Linked DNA regions of Nothobranchius furzeri. The protein of the gene in region 3 purifies or fractionates together with the protein of the main gene of each other region. This does not show direct contact. Links are inferred from orthologs where the notes say so. Each region holds a gene or a part of one and is shown on either strand. Other genes may lie near its edges.

Region 1 (5,604 bases), on a different chromosome or scaffold from region 3:
CGTCCTCCACTTCTAATGACTGCTCAGAGTGAAGGGAGCTAGCTTCGTCTAGTTAGCCATCGTCTTCGTCACTGCCGCGGCTCCGCCCTCTCGGTCCTCCAGGCAACGCCTACTAATGTTGCAGTTTTTAAAATTGATACGTGGGTGGGGTAAGACTCTGAGGTACACTTGACATGCACTTTAAATCTGTGAGTAGTCCAGAGTAGAACGCAGTTGTAGAAAATCACTGACATCACAGATTCTTGTGTGGATGTTTTTTTTTACCACAGAAATGGAACCGTGTGATTTTAGTGGTTGTCCTTTAAGGGGGTGTTTTACACTGAAATAACATTTAGTCTGTCCAGATGACTTCCATCACTAACCAGTGAACGAGGCAGTTGAGCTGCCAGCAGCAGCATTCAACCACATGATGTCATTAAACAACCAGACCTTCTGACTAATGAGGGCCAAATCAGGTCAGCTACAGCTTCTCATCCTCCCTACGGATGGGCACCGTATTCGGTACTTTTAAGGCACCGACCGAATTCCGTGGTACCGATCAAGGACAGTGCGTCATGTCGTCAGTCGCTGCGGGCGAGTTGTAAACAGAGCAAGCAGCATGGTAGAAAGAACGCACTCTAAAGTTTGGGTCTACTTCACTAAATGTGATGGTGACTGGGTGATGATGACAACATTGACAACTTTCTAAGTTAGCCATCATTGTCTTGCTCTGCTACATACTATAAATAGTTTAAGATGGTATTAGCTTGATATTTGAGCTTTCGTTGCTAGCAGAGAATGGTGTGTTCGCTCTCTCCTTGGTACTTGGACATTTTGACTTCCGAGTAGGCAGAGGGACGCCATACAGTTTGGCTTCGCTTTACTAAATGCGATGGGTGACTGGGTGTTGCTGATATTGACATTGATCTAAATGAGTCGTCATCGTCTTAATCTGCTCCATTAGCTTGATGGTTTAGCTTAGTTGAGTTCACTGCAAAGATGTTTGCTTCAGTTTAATTTGCAGTTTTTAATACTACAAGGAGCCAACCATCACACAGTCTGTCCAGAAGGGACAGGAGAGCAATATGAGTACATGGAGCTGGCTTTAGTTTGTGAAACACCACAGTATTCAACAGCTGGATGGTACTGAAGTTTGCTTTAGTTTCATTTCATCATAGTTATTCCAGAGGGCATAGAATAGGATTAGGAGCATATGGAGGTGGGTTTCAATTGTTGCATCATTTAGAAACAGTTGTGGTTGAAGGTTTTCATATTTAAAAGACAATTAGTTCATTTAATACACACTCAAAAGTACCAGTAAGTACTCATATGATTTCTAGGTACTGGGAATCGGTACCAAATTGATTCAAATGTGAAAGGCACCATCCCTAATCCTACCACCACCCCCCCCCCCCCCCACACACACTTCAAAAAATAAAATCAGGTCAATTACTCAGCACTGACATGGAAACCATCTTAGTTTCTAGGTATGATTCCTAACAAAACTAGTAAAATCAAAAGGCCAACTTTTGCAAACAGCATATAGCATGCAGCACCCTGTTCACACCCCAGGCTCTAACAGGGATCACACAACATGTGCACAAGAGAGAACACGCACGTTTTGACACATCCCTGAAGTCCTCTAATCTGGCTCAGATGTTCTGTGATCTCAGCAGAAAAGATTTCTCCTTCTCTTTAAGAGTTTCACAACCGTTGCCTCATGAGGACCACAACTTTGATCACTTGGCTTTAACTTTAGGATTGGTTTGCTATTGTCTGTGCTACACAACGCCTGTGTAAACTTTATTCTATCTCCACTGGCTGTGACCATATATGGTCAACGAGGCTCAAAGATTCCAGCCAGCACCCCTGCTGTCAGGGAGCATACTTGTGACCCAACACACACTCAGAAGGGAGGAATGCAGACGAGGATGTCTGTCTGTAGTGTGTTGATGTCTGACGTTAGCTTCTGCTGCAGAGACTCCAGAAAATATCCAGTAGCACCCAGACAATGAAAACACCCCCCACACATCAGCTAACATCAGTGATGCTGCACTCTTCAGCCCTATTTGTCACCAACAGCACATCAGTATTGGTATTTGGGATTTGTTTTGAGGACACATTTTGTTAACCTCTATAGTAAAAATGTTTTTCAGTTTTAGTCTAACTGACTCGTTACATAAACCAACACTAAAGCTAAAGGTTTGGGCCCTCTGGACCAAGACCAAGTCAACAGCTGGTTACTGTCAAAGGACACACACACACACACACACACACACACACACACACACACACACACACACACACACACACACACACACACACAGTGTGTTTAGACACCTTCATCATATGCATCATCAGAAGCTGCATATCTGAATCTGTAAATATCCAAGGCAACTACCTGCATCCATAAAGTTAAAGTCCCACAGCCATCATCACACACTGGTGAAATTCATCTCTGCGTTTGACCCATCCCCATGGAGGGGAGCCGTAAGCTGCAGCAGTGGCTGCGCTCGGGAACTATTTGGTGGTTTAACGCTCTACCATGTAACACTGACTCAGAATTACGGAGTCAGAGTTACTGTCATGAGTGGTTGTTCTGCAGCAGGACGGCCGGTGGCTAAAGGGAGCGACGCTTCTGCTCCGACTGCTCATCAGACATGCATCTGATCCTGGACTAGGGCTGGACGATACAGAATAATAGTATAATTTATTTTTTATATTGATTGATATCAATAATTATTTAAAAATATTTTTTAAATTGTAGAAAATATATTTGACGTGAAGCCCTGGCCATTTTGTTTTGAGTATTTTTATTTTTTTCTCTGCCTCTTCCCTCTGCAACATCTTGCTGCCTCATGCTCTGTTTTGGTTTGTTACCCTGTGTTACAGGTACCAGTCAAACTGATTTTTATTTAAAGCTTAATTAATTACCAGTATGGAAGCGCATTTTCACCACTCTGATTAAATGTTTTGACTTTTTTTTTATCAGAGTGGCGGGAATGGGCATCTGTGTTGCAGAAGCTTGCAGCAAAATGTTTTACCTCTGCAGGAACAAGCAGACCTTAAAGTAGGTTTTAGTGTGTTGAACAGAGTAAATCTGCGTTACCATCTGATCAAATCTATAGTAGCCAACTACAAACATCATCTGTGGTAACGCTACAAGCAACACGTGCCAGAAGCGTTAAACTTTTACAATAATAATAACCCAAAACTACTCGAGTTATTTTAACAGCTTCTGCCGTTCATTAATAACGGGAAGAGGTCACAGTGGTGAGTTTGGTTAAGAAATCGACTCTTCTGTTTTATAGCCGACTTCCTTCGAATTAAAAAGGGAAGTAAGTAACGCAAGCCGCGAACAGAAAGTGCGTGGGTCAACAAAAAAGCATGAAACGTCTTAGGTCTGATTCCTAACAAAACTAGCTCAATCAAAAGGCAGAGAACACGCATGAGAACATATGAATGAATATTTGAACTGAGGTTTTAATAAATCAGTAGAAATCTGGACCCCTGCTGAAGTAATCAGCTGGGCAGGTATCTGTGGGTTATCTCGCCACCTGCACGCGCTCGGCACACCTCAGGGCGTTCCCTGGTCACCGACCGAGGGGGTCAGCTCAGGAGAAAGCTTCAGCTTACCTTCTTCACTTCCTTCTCGATTTCCATCGTGACGGTTGTTCACAAGAAGTTAAGTCGGACTTGTTCTGAAGCGGCAGTCAAAAACTAGCACTGGAAAAAGTCAGGGAATAAAGACAAGAACAATCCTCCTTTCGCTGGTCCTGTCCTCCGCTGAACTGCACGCTCAATAAGTCAAGCCCGCTCAGGTGTGCAGTTTCCGGTCAAACCTTTCAAGATAAAACTATAGCACGCTTCATAAATCACCCATACCTTTTCATTAAAGTCATTCATCAGATCATAAAATGCCCATCAATCAGAAACTAAACTATATCATGAAACAAATGAAAGATAATTACAAACAGATGATGTCATGATGACCAAAACCCGGTGGACTTCCTGTTTTAAGCTTAGGGGTGAGGTTTACACATGAGATGTGAACAGAGTTTTTGTTACAGTTCAGATTAGAAATACACTGGTTATGGTCAGGGTTTGTGTGTGTGTGTGTGTGTGTGTGTGTGTGTGTGTGTGTGTGTGTGTGTGTGTGCGTGCGTGTGTTTGTGTGTGTGTGTGTGTGTGTGTGTGTGTGTGTGTGTGTGTGTGTGTGTTTGATTGTGAAGGCATCATTGAGTTGATTTCCGGTTCTGTGTGTATCCTTTTTCCATCTTGACACCTCTCTCCCCCGTCCCGTTCACTGGGAGATGTGGGGGGTGCTTCCGCCCTGACAAATTTTTCTTCTGTGAACTTGTCAGGCAGCCAATCAGCGAGCAGAAGGGGCGTGTCCTGAACTCAACAATGGACACAAACTGCAGTAGCCGACTGTTAGTCATTAGTAGATAAAGGCATGCTAAGGGATGAGTCTACAACACCAAGGCATGAAAGTAATTGCCCACAGGCCTGTACGAATGCAGACTGGCATTATGGGATGTGAAGCCACACACCACAGCTGTTTGTGGTTTTTACTCTACTTCTTGTCAAACAGCTGCTGGGCTGTCTCATTGACAGGAAACTGGTGGTTAACAGCTTCCTGTGAGTGCCGCTGCTGTCCTCAAAGGAAATGGCACGGTCGCACCCTGGCTGCTCCTACATGGTGTTATACTTTCTGCTTTTATCAGCAGCACAGCTTCTCTGCCATGTCTGCTCTGTGTGTTCTGCCATGTCATCACCTCCCAGCGTGTCAGCGCTATGTGGCTGTGCTGCTACGACGAACGATGCAGGAGGTGCTCCAAGGCTTCATTACACTGGAGGGGGGGACGTTTCCAAACAAAATCCTAAAGTGAACAGAAGACTGTGTTCTGTGGAATCAAATTTGGGTCAATTGTACATGTAACAAAATCCATAAGTGAGCATGTTTGTAACACATTTTGATTGGCTGCTGAAGTTTCTGTGGCTCATGGTGATCCTAGTAGAAAAGAGGGTATACTGTCTCGTTTTAAACAGAACAATGTGGAGCATAAAGCTGTGAGACCCGATTTGGATCTTTGTTGTGAGTTAGGTTTGTGGACAGCTTATCAGTTTTGAAAACTCCGGTCTTCTGCTGCAATCGCTTTGGTCCGAACATTCGACTTCAGCACAAAAGAGGAAGCCTTACTCTCCTAAAACTGCTGTTTCAGATCTAAGCTGAAGTTCTTTTCTTTATAAACCGTCATTAATGTGTTCATCGATGACAGTTTAGAAGCTCCCGGTTTTCTCCAGGGCCCACATATAAGGATCGGGAACGCTGTTGGCTTTCCAGGTAAGTCAGTGGGAATCCTGCAGCTGTTTTCCACGCCACTCTCTACTTGTGTTTGTTCAGCTCAGTTACATAACCCAACTACAGACTGACACATGCAGAAAAGGAGGTTTTAGTAGGTAAATTTAAGTTCTCTGGGTCGGAACAGGAAGGCTTTAAGTGGGTTTTCCAACAGTGCCCGTAAATAAAAACATTTTTAGTGTTAATGAAATTTATTTAAAATGTTCTTGTGCTAGTTGCCTCTATATGTAATACTTTTAATAAATAGATCCATCTTTTTT
Region 2 (4,978 bases), on a different chromosome or scaffold from region 3:
TGTTCAAGTCATTTAGAGTAAGGAAAGTGCTGCAGCAAACTCTGTCTTCGTTGTTTATGAGAAACTCAGCATCGCTGTGTGTGACGTACGCTGCTCAGCGCTGATTGGCTCGGTTACAAATCTCAGGGGGTGGGGTTATTTGAATGGGGGAGTTCCCAGACCAAATGCTTCCCATAAGGAAGGGGATACCTCAGAAACTAGCCAGAATCTTTCCTTACACCCGCCATGTTTGCCTTCATAGCTTTAGTAACTCACACAAAGCGTTTCAGGACATGTTTTCCCCTGGGCACAAGAAAATTACCGGTATCAAAATTACCAGTATCAAAATTACCACCATCAAAATTACCAGTATCAAAATTACCGTTAACACAAACGTATAAAATGTCCAAACTTGTCTAACTGGGGAAATAAATGACTTCCTTTAGTCAACTAAAAGTGCTTCATTTGCATCGCTGTTTCTGTTTTAAAACGGAGTAAAGCTATAGTTTAGTATTTTAACGATCTCCCGTTAGACACTCCGATCAGGTCCTGCTTGAGGCGGCGACACTCATCCAGACACAAACTAATAAAATATTTTCCGCTGACATTTTTACACCAGCCACTTCCTCTGAGTTTTTGGGCTTTTCTGCATTTTCATGTGATTCTGGTTTATCCAGAACTTACTGGAAATGTTTGGTAAATTCTAGATATGATTCTGTTAGTGAATTGTGGTGAGGGCAGGAAGCCTGAAGCTTTATGGTTCACAAAGGTTTTCATCAAACCTTAAATCCTCTTCACCATACACACACCTCTCTGTTTTGAGCTGAAACCAGGTTAAATACAGACAAGTTAATTCTAATCAGATTTCTTACATGACCGTCTGTTTGCGCGCCGTGTCCGGGTCTGAAGCCGTGTACACCGTCACCCCACTGCCAGGAAGAAGGCTCTCAGGTTTGGCCACATGCTTCTCCGTGGGATCGAATATCGGAGGTTCGTTGATGTCGAGGACCGTGACTGTGACTGTTGCAGTGGAGGTGGGCACATCATTAACAAATGGAACCTCGTTCTCCACTGAAACCATCAGAGTGTATATGCTGGTCATCTCATAGTCCAGACCCTGGTTTAATGGAGGAGGAGGAGACACCACACAACAGATAAGACACTAGGAGCTCATTCAGCTGATGGAAGGTTTCCACCGCAGGACTCAGAGGCCAAAACAAAAAACTGCTGAGGCTGTGCTGCGGTGTCGGAGTCAGGGTTACCCAACACTGGGTGTCCCCTTCAAGTTCCGCCTTTACACAACAAACCAGATGCAGTTCTGGCTCTAAGTGAAGCTTTACTTTGTTACGGAGAACTCTGTTGCACCTACCTTAACGGTATAAAGAATTCCTTCCTGTTTGTTGGCTCCCGTTTTCACAGCAAAAAATCCTCCGGCATCTCCGTCTACAATCGTGAACTTGGCGTTCCAGGCTTGAGTGTGTGGATCGTCTCCGTCCGTCACCGACATTCTAACCACCACAGCATCCACTTTATTCTCTTCAACTGATGATTTATACTGAAAAGTTCAGAAGGTTCTAGATTAGCTCCACTTTAGGGTCATCGTGTAGTAGTTTGATTGTTTTGACTGCAGCAGCACAAACTGGACTGCTCAAGCTACGCTAAAACTGTTCATTTACAAAGTTAAACTTCCTGTCAGCTGTTAAAATCAACACTAGTAAGTTACAGAAATGATCCTGATGCACGAGTAGGTCTACATGTGTTGTACTTACTGAGGACTGTGTGAAGACTGGAGGAAGGTCGTTGCTGTCCGTTACCTTGAGTATTACTTTGGCCTCAGTAAACAACCCTTCTCCCTGTGTGTCTGCAGCTCGTACCATCAGTGTGTACTGAGGGTATTTCTGTTGGATAAAAGTGACGTTAATCTGCAGTAATACACCATCGCTTCAGTTTATAAGAAAAGTCACAGACTAACGACTGCTTCATAAAAGTCTTGGATCTCCTGTAAACTCGGATGCCTCTGACCTTACAGTGGACAATTAACCAAATAGTTGGCCTTTGGTAGGCTACATCAGCACCTAAAGTTTATCCCTAAATTTTCATAAGAAATGACGAAAATGATGCAGGAGGGCATTAAACACTTGTTTTAGCATTTTTAAACAAATATTTTCACTAGCGGTGGGCATAGATTTTTAATCTAGATTAATTTCACTGTAATCTTGGAATAATCTAGATTAAAATGGTTTGTTTGAATTCCACCAAAGGCATTCCTAATGTGTGTGTGCTACTTAAATAACTAAAAGGAAGCATTTGAGAGCAAGTTTCCCAAGCCAGGAGGAGCATTAGTCCAGGGGCTTATCTCCCGTTTCCAAAAGCATCACAAATCGAGAAATCTTGAAATAAAAACACATCTAAAAACTTTGCTATTCAAGTAACGTTTCACATTCAGAACTTATTTTTAAATAGCACAATAAAACTATGCCCACGTCATCTTTAACGCCAGTTCAAAGCGATCTAGAGAAGTTGTCGGTGTGGCCAATCTGTAACTTTCATCTTCAGCCGAAAGAACCAACGACAAGCTGGATAAAATCTGTTGCTGTAAACAATCTGTAAACAACTGCTGCAGCGGTTCCTTTCAGAATAAAAGCTGAACCATCACGACCCCGTTTTGGGTCTTGTTAGATGCCGATAAACTGTTGTGACCCGGAAGAATCTCAAGACTGGTGGTCGGCTGCCGCGGCTGTTTCCACAGGCTTCGGCTCCACAAAGGTCAAGCTGGACCTCTACTAGGGTTGTCACGGTAACCGGTATAGCGGTAAACCCCGGTAAAAAAGTTGACAATAAAAATAACCGTCCAGTTTTTAAAAAACTATATTATCTCGGTGGGTTTACCGTGGCCGCGGTTTCGGCGCGATGACCCTTACCAGCCACCGTCGCTTCAGCTGAATTTCCCGCGGCGCGCACACGCACTTTTTAGTTTGCAACGGCACCAAAACTTTGAAGCTGAAATAATGGCCGAAGGAGGAGACGGCAGCGCCCAGGACATCCATCAGCCCTCAAAGAAGACTAAATCGGAAGTATGGGCATATTTTGGATTTCTGAAAATTGCTGAGGGACAGTTAATGGAAGACTGCTATCCCGTTTGCAGAACGTGCAGGAAAAGTGTCTGCAAAAGGCAGCAACACTTCGAATCTAATGGCACATGTGTGTGACCATCACCCACGTCTCTACAGCCAGTGCAAGGTAAGTTAACATTAGCATTTTAGCTTAAATGCATGACGTGAGGACTTTTGGTTGAGGGAGAATACAACGAGTCACTATATACTGCAGCCGCAGCGCCCTCTGCCAGCATTTAAACCGTGTCACGGACACCCTGTTGCTGGATGAAGCGTCTTATTTGTTGATGATGAAGAGAAATATACAATTAGTTCTTTGTCATTGATTTGTTTACTTATTCAATGCCATTTATACTTGAACGTTTGGATTTGATTACATAGTGTAGTAGTTATTTTAGTAATTTGTTTAAAGTGGCTATTTATTTTAAATACATATTTTTTAAGGTTGACTTGTACAGTGCTCAAGTCAAGTGTGGACTGGAGTTTTAGATTTTCATTTTGATAATGAAGAAAACAAGTATATGAGAAAACAAGTGGTGTTTCTTTGATTTGTTTACATATTGTTTATGTTTCGAATGTTTGGATTTGTAAAATTTAAACCTGCACTGACTACTGTAACATGTTCCAGAAAAATTTGTTCCTTTACTTGTGAAAAGTTGCACTTTTGCTAAGGCTTTGTGTTATTTTAGGTTTAATAAACACTGTTGAACCTTTTCAGAACTATTTCAGTTTGTGTAGAACAGGACAATCAATGCTTTCTGAACATATGCAACACAGTTTAAAAAATACCGCGATAATACCGAAAACCGTGATAATTTTGGTCACAATAACCGTGAAGTTAAATTTTCATACCGTGACAACCCTAACTTCTACACCTCCTGATCTAGACGGGGACTTCCACTAAGGGTATGTGGACCGACAAATGGCGTCGAATGTGTTTATGAATCTCCTAAACAAAGTTTAGCGTGAAGACATCACCTTCATTTCCCACCAGAACTAATAGTTTCTTCAGATTTGCTGGTTCTGAACATTCCACACTACACCATTCTCTGTCTCATTTCACCTTAGTTACACCATACATTTAGTGTTTAAGTGAGTCTAATTTGTTTAGTAATAAATCTTTAAACTTTTAAAACTTGACTCTCTTCTGTTGTCTCAGAGTGAATACGAAGTGGTTACATAATCTCTGCAATAAAAAGTTCCAATCTTCTGGTTAAACAGTACTCACAGATCCATAAGGTTGATTTCATATTTATTATGTAATCTTATGTCTTATGGCTCATTAAATAACATGTAAATTAACTCATTACAAGACGCTGGAAAAAACACAGGAGGGGGCGCTTCGGCTCCGCGCTAACGCCGCAAAGCATCATGGGAGTAGTAGTCTTTGTGGTAAAATCGGCCAGCGGGTCAGTTTTAATGTATTTTTGATACTTATCTTGTGGGCCACATAAAACCGCTCTGCGGGCCTTGTGTCTGACACGTGCTCTAAGCAGATACTAGAACTGCTAACATTCCTCTTTCCAAGTATAAATATAAAACACTCAGGGTCAGGTCACTCTTGGCCAACACAACAGTGGCTGAAGGGCCGCACATGGCTCCAGACCCACAGGTTGCAGACCCCTATATTAACTCAATGTTTCCCTTCTAAAAACTTCAATCGCTGGTCCTGTTTGCAAATGTAACCATTACATAAAATTAAAAATCCTAAACTTCTCTTAGAGATGTTTTATCAAGTCTCACCTCTCTGTCCAGATTTGGACGATTGACTCTGATAGCTCCTGTTGTTGGGTTGATGGTAAACATGTCAACGTAGGGTACCTCTGGAACCTGGCTCGTGATGCGGTAGCGGATATCAGCGTTGTCAGTGTTTGGATCATCAGCAT
Region 3 (5,639 bases):
ATCACCGTAAAACAAACTTTGGATTTTTTAAGGAGAATCCTCCCAACTCTTCTGCCCGGTTTAACATTACGACTCATTAAGATTTCGTAGCAAAAACCAAAAGAAACAGACTGAAGCGGCACTCCTGGTGTCAGGCTTTTATTCCTTTTCTTTTGATTTCAGCTTCAATACACTGGGTTTACTTTATTTAAGATAGACATCAGGCACATTAGTATAACTGTTCACACTAAGCAGTCAGCTCTTTAATAATAATAATAATAAAAAAAACAACACAGCAAAGTCAGATTTCACCCGAGATCCAAAACCAAACATTACAGCACAAAGCTCCGAACTTTTCTGTGTCTTCTGATTCTACATCTGAAAAACCAACACCCCCCCACCCCCCAGATGTCACCACGCCAACTCCTTTCTGTAGAGCTGTGCACACCTTTAAAGCAACCAACTACACGTGTGACACTTTGCACTAAAACATACAGAGAAAGATAAAAATCTGTTATAAAGACACGGGTTGGAATAAAATCATGATTTAGCGCTCAAGCACAGGAAAAGCAGGACGCTGGTTTAAGAGCAGAGAAATGACTGAATTCGGAAGGCGTTCGGTCTGATGGACGCTCAAAAACAAAAGCCTATACTCGCGTCAGCAGGACAGACGAGCTGGTGCTCCAGAACAGGAAGTGTTTACAGGAACCCGAAGCAGAACGTTAGGATTTCACACACGAAAACGTTAGTAAGCTGCTGGTGAACCGTGTCGAAATCAGCAGAAAGTCCACAATCACAACATGGAATAAGGCAGCTGAGATTTTGCATAGTTCATGTATAAAGTTCAAAACGTATTTTGACCAAAATTAAATGAGAAATCGTATGAAAATCATCAAAAGCCTCCTGGAATTACTAATCTGTTAAATCTGCTCTTTCCTCTCGTCTACGTTACGGAAAGGTTCGGCTGCTCGCCCCTCTGGCTGCCGTTTCTACCGAGGTCGATGCTAAGATTAAAGCTAATCTGAAGAACTGGTCCAACCAATAAAGCTCCCTCAATCCTAAACTCCTGGATTAAGAACGTGCGTTCTCCTCCAGCTAGATGCTCTCCATGGCTTTGAACTCGCTCAGAGCCTGCACAGGGTTCACGTGCTTCTTCTGAGAAGACCTCTTGACCTTGTTGGTCTGCCCGTCGTCCTGCTTCTCTCTCTTAACCAGAGGCTTCTTCTCGGGAGCTTTCATCTTCCAGGAGATGGCCGGCATGTTGAGGGACTCCATGGCCTTGGTCTTCTGGTATTTGGTGGAAGCCACGTAAGATGCCTTCACTGTGGACACCACGGCGTTCATCAGGTTCTTTGCAGCCTGAATCAGAGACATGGCGCTGTCCAGCCCAGAGACGACCAGTTCTCCTCCCAGGTTCTGGACCTCCGCTTTGACTTTGCTGCAGATGTTGAGCTGATGGCAATACAAGGAGATACGCTGCAGGTAGGCCAGCAGGTCCTGCTTGCAGGATGAGTCGGGACAATTGTCGGCAATGGTGCGGCCCAGTTTGTCCATTCTTGATCCGGTCTCGGCTATTTTTTTGGCAGCACTGATGACATCAGACGTGTTCTTCAGTGGCCCCTTTCCCCTGGTGAAGTCCGTCATCTCCATCATGATCATGCACATCTGCTTGGCTAACACGATGATGTCATTGCCGCTGTCATCCCACTTGGACACCTCTGCGTCCAGCTTGCTCTTCTCCTCCTGGAAGCTAGCCACCTGTTCAGCGATCTTTGCTTTCTGCTCCTGCGGCAGCTGAGCCATGATGGCGCGTGCGCTTTGGCCCTCAATGCGCTGGTCGTCCTCGGTCTGCACGCTGGTTTTGCTGCGTGTGTCAAAGTCTTCGGTCTCAAAGTCTGAATCGTCCAGTTCTTCTGGAGTTCTGATCATGAGGATAGCCTTGCGTATGTCCCGAATGCCGTCGTACACCAGACGAGACGCATCGATGAACTCGTTCTCGTCCACAGGCTGAGAGGGGTTTGTGCTTAGGGCCTCAACCGCAGACTCGATTTGTTCGGTGAACCGTGGCATGACCGTGTTGGTCAGGAGCTTGGTGGCCTCCAGAACCTTCTCCGTGTAGACCCCCGGTTCATAGTTGTCCATCTCAGAAGTGACAACATGAACGACTCTGGCGGCCCGGCCTCGAATAGCGCCGGCGGTGCGATCCAGACCGTCAACATCCTTCTCTTGAAGCGCGATGACACACTTATTCACGTCCTCTAGGATGTGGTTCTCAGACACACAAAGGAAGTCATCGATTGATGTTATGTCATCAACAGCATCAGTGAGGACACGGACCTGCTTCTCCCACTGATCTTTGAATGCGTCCATGTTGTCCTGGGCCACCTTACTGTGGGGCTTGGCAGCAAGGGCCAGCGCTGCGTTGATCACCTGGGGGCACAGGGTTTCCAGCTGGGATGCTGCCATGCGCACCAGTTTAACCCCCTCTTCATTATTGGAAATGGAGCACGCCAGGTTGGCTACCTCGATCAGCTTGTTGGCGTGTTCGCGAAAGACTTGAGCGTATTCCTTTACTTCCTTTTCGTTGCCATTCTTCGCGGCTTCGATCAGGACCAGGAGGGGGACGTTTGTCTCCAGGAACGAGTCCGAGACGTGGTCCATGACAGCTTTACGGAGCTGCCTGCGGAGGTCTCTGGTCTTCTTCGTCATCCTGTCGATGGCTGTGTTCAGAGCGTCGCTCCTCTCCTTCCTCCCCGCATTCCCCATGTACTCTGACAGGAGGTCCTGCAGAGCCTGGCGCACTGAGTTGCATTCAGCAACAATGCGCTCCCTGCGGTCATCGCGTGTGCAGGAAGAGTCAGCCATGAGTGCAGCTCCGCTGATGATGCTCTCCAGGCGCTCCTCGAGAGAAGGACGAAAGCGCTCCTCGCTGAATGCCAAGGGGTCCACAATGATTTGTTTATCAAAATTGTTGAGGGCATAAGCCAGCTCTCCGGCCCCTCCCGGCTGGCTCAGCGCCGAGTCTTCGGTGCTCGTGGCCTGGGCAGCGTTGGAGATTCCTGAGACCGCATGCTGGAGCTGCTTGTAGATCAGGTCACGGTTAGCCTTGTAGGCCGCCACATCAGGATGCTGCAGGCAGGCACAGGTCGCTTTGTAGAGCAAGGGGACGTTCCTTTGGAGCAATCCACGTGCAGCAGCCATTTGGTCCTTGTGCTGGACGTCCTTTAGCTCCTGCTGCCTCTTAGCAGCCATGTGGTTCAGCTTGTCCACCTCTGGGATCAAAGCCTTATACTGGATCCCCAAATCCTGCTCTGTTCCAGCGCCGCACACTTTAGCCATGCCATCTTCAACCAGCTTAAGCTGCACCAGGAGTTTGTAGACATCAGACATGTCTGCCAGGACCAGCAGATGTGTAACCGCTGAGAGGAGGGCCCTGGCGGCACGGACCATGGTGCCCCTCTTCACAGAGGAGCAGGGGTCTTCAACAAACTCTCCAGAAGCCTGGCGCATGGAATTACCTTGGTTACGGACATCCTCCACAGCCTCGGTCAGCTCTTCCTTGAGGAACTGACTTTCTTCTGCAATCTTTTCTCCTTTTTCTAGGAAGTTCTGGGTGGCCTTCTCCACTGAAGCAGCCAAAACATGAGCCTTCTTGGAGCGTCCCTTCTTCTTGTTAGATGGACCTTTGTTGCTGGAGTTGACCAGAGTGGTGACCTGGGCGACAAGCGGCTGAAGGAGCTTCTCCACTGCCAGAGTCCGGATCTCCAGACTCTTGGGGTCCCATTTAAAGTTGATGTTGGGAGTGTTGACGCTCGTCATCGTGTGGTTTTTACACAATCCGCTGAAGACGAACCGGAGTGCAAAAGTTCAAAATGGAGAACGTCCGGAATCCTCTCCTGAAAAGTTTTCCTCTCTTCTCGGGCTCCGTGTGACGTAGCTCTCGACTTTTGGCTGGCTTTGCTTCTTTTCGGGGGGAAAAAACAACCTCCACGCTTCAAAACAATAAGCGCCTGTGTAAAGTCTTCTGAGCGGTACCGAGGGAATAGTTTCGGTGTGAACCGTTTCGGTGAGGCAGACTCTCGCCCAACAATGGCTAAAGTGGAGTGGAGGAGGGGTGGGGGCAGGGCGGTGACCGAGTTTCCCAACTTCCTGGCAGCGGAGCGGGGCGGCGACAGGCTGCAGCAGGCCCGGAAGCCTGTTGGGAACCTTGTTTGGAACATTTCTGTTGGAACTGGGTGTGTCCGACTCCAGAGCCTGAATGCCCGAGAGTACGTGTCCTTGCTCGACCGATAAGACCGGCGGTCGGACGGTCTGGCCTCCCCCTCCACTGCAGCCTGTAGGTCCCGTTACCTAGCAACCGTGGCGGCAGCTAACAGCTAAAGCTAGCGATAATAGAGCAGCCCCCCCTCCCAGCAGCTTTACCTTCACCAGGTTTGTTCCTCAGGCTGGTGAACAACCTGGGTGAAGTCATCTAGTTTAGTCTACAAGCCTTCAGGACTTCCATGTTGACGTTAGTTTCAGGATGGTTGGTGGGTAAAGGCCACTAGAGTATTAAAATGTGGATAATTATGAACTATATACATTTTAACTACAGCAGGACCTGCTCTCATGTGGTTTTTACAACTCCTTAATCTGTTTTAAAGTGGGTGTAAAAGCTTTAAAAACAGACTTAAGTTGACAGTGGCATTAGATCTTTCCTAAATCTGTGAACCATCTGTAGTTTTTATTATACCCTGCTTTCTTTTAACAGAAAATAACTGTTGTTCTGCCGTGTAACATTCAGAAAGGGTCCACTTTGACCACATAGTGACCGGTCACTGAGACATCATTAAATACGCAGTAGTTCCGCTGTAAAGTGACACTACAGCAGGTTATGTTTTAAATTTAACAATAAAAACTATTTTCTCCCCGTTAATACATGTCAGCATGCACCATCCTGCACATTTCCCTCAGCGCTGGTGACATTGTGGCCTTGGAGGATGAGCGAGCGATGCTGTAGGTGAGAGGCTGGTATGGAGGCAGTCAGCGGTCCAACCCACGACTTCTGTTAACTTATTTATGTAGGAATCCATGAAAAGAACATGCTGCCCTTTTAATTAAGAGTCACAATTGTTTTACTGGTGAATCCATAAACCATCTCCTCATTTCATTTTTGCTGAACATGTTTTAGGGATGTGACAGCCGTTGATCGAGCCAGCCTGTAGATGGAAGATGGAGTGGTCGTGCGAGGATGCCTCCCAAAGCGTTCTCTGCAGACCGCCCTGCACCATGTTCCACCCTTGAACCAGAAATGCCCAGCCCTCCATCCACGTCTGGGATCCTTCTGCAGCACGCCAACCACCTGCTCACTCGGTTTAAAGAAATGATCCAGGAAATTCACACGGGTTAATCAGTTAAGTTTATTTATAGCGCCAAATCACGACGAGTCATATGAAGACACTTAGCAAAGTACATCCTGCATGACGTGTACATAAATGTTCCATCCTTGCATCTTTTAATACTTGTCATTGATTATAAATAGTCTTGTCCCCTTACCATATTTTCATTTTATGTTTGTGTAATGTGTTCAAAAACATCTGTAAATAATAAAATGAATGATCAGATGAGTTATCAGTTAGTATTTGTTTCAATTGCAGCATGCAGACACCAAACCAGTAAAT

Evidence for each region.
Region 1: the proteins of ctnna1 (region 3) and tes purify together in Homo sapiens (affinity purification with mass spectrometry; 3 studies listed by BioGRID and IntAct, with this or other methods). This does not show direct contact. The link is inferred for Nothobranchius furzeri from reciprocal best matches to the Homo sapiens genes CTNNA1 and TES.
Region 2: the proteins of ctnna1 (region 3) and B-cadherin purify together in Homo sapiens (affinity purification with western blotting; 10 studies listed by BioGRID and IntAct, with this or other methods). This does not show direct contact. The link is inferred for Nothobranchius furzeri from reciprocal best matches to the Homo sapiens genes CTNNA1 and CDH1.

The regions. Positions count from the first base shown.
Region 1 is NC_091744.1:52,297,904-52,303,507, reverse strand, and holds the start of tes (testin), read right to left. Parts: upstream 3,805-5,604; 5' UTR 3,643-3,804; coding exon 3,616-3,642; intron 1-3,615. UniProt on the Homo sapiens protein: Scaffold protein that may play a role in cell adhesion, cell spreading and in the reorganization of the actin cytoskeleton. Plays a role in the regulation of cell proliferation. May act as a tumor suppressor. Inhibits tumor cell growth.
Region 2 is NW_027223037.1:4,230,426-4,235,403, reverse strand, and holds part of B-cadherin, read right to left. Parts: coding exon 4,836-4,978; intron 1,878-4,835; coding exon 1,749-1,877; intron 1,535-1,748; coding exon 1,349-1,534; intron 1,097-1,348; coding exon 852-1,096; intron 1-851.
Region 3 is NC_091748.1:78,692,733-78,698,371, forward strand, and holds ctnna1 (catenin alpha-1), read right to left. Parts: upstream 3,799-5,639; coding exon 1,075-3,798; 3' UTR 123-1,074; downstream 1-122. UniProt on the Homo sapiens protein: Associates with the cytoplasmic domain of a variety of cadherins. The association of catenins to cadherins produces a complex which is linked to the actin filament network, and which seems to be of primary importance for cadherins cell-adhesion properties.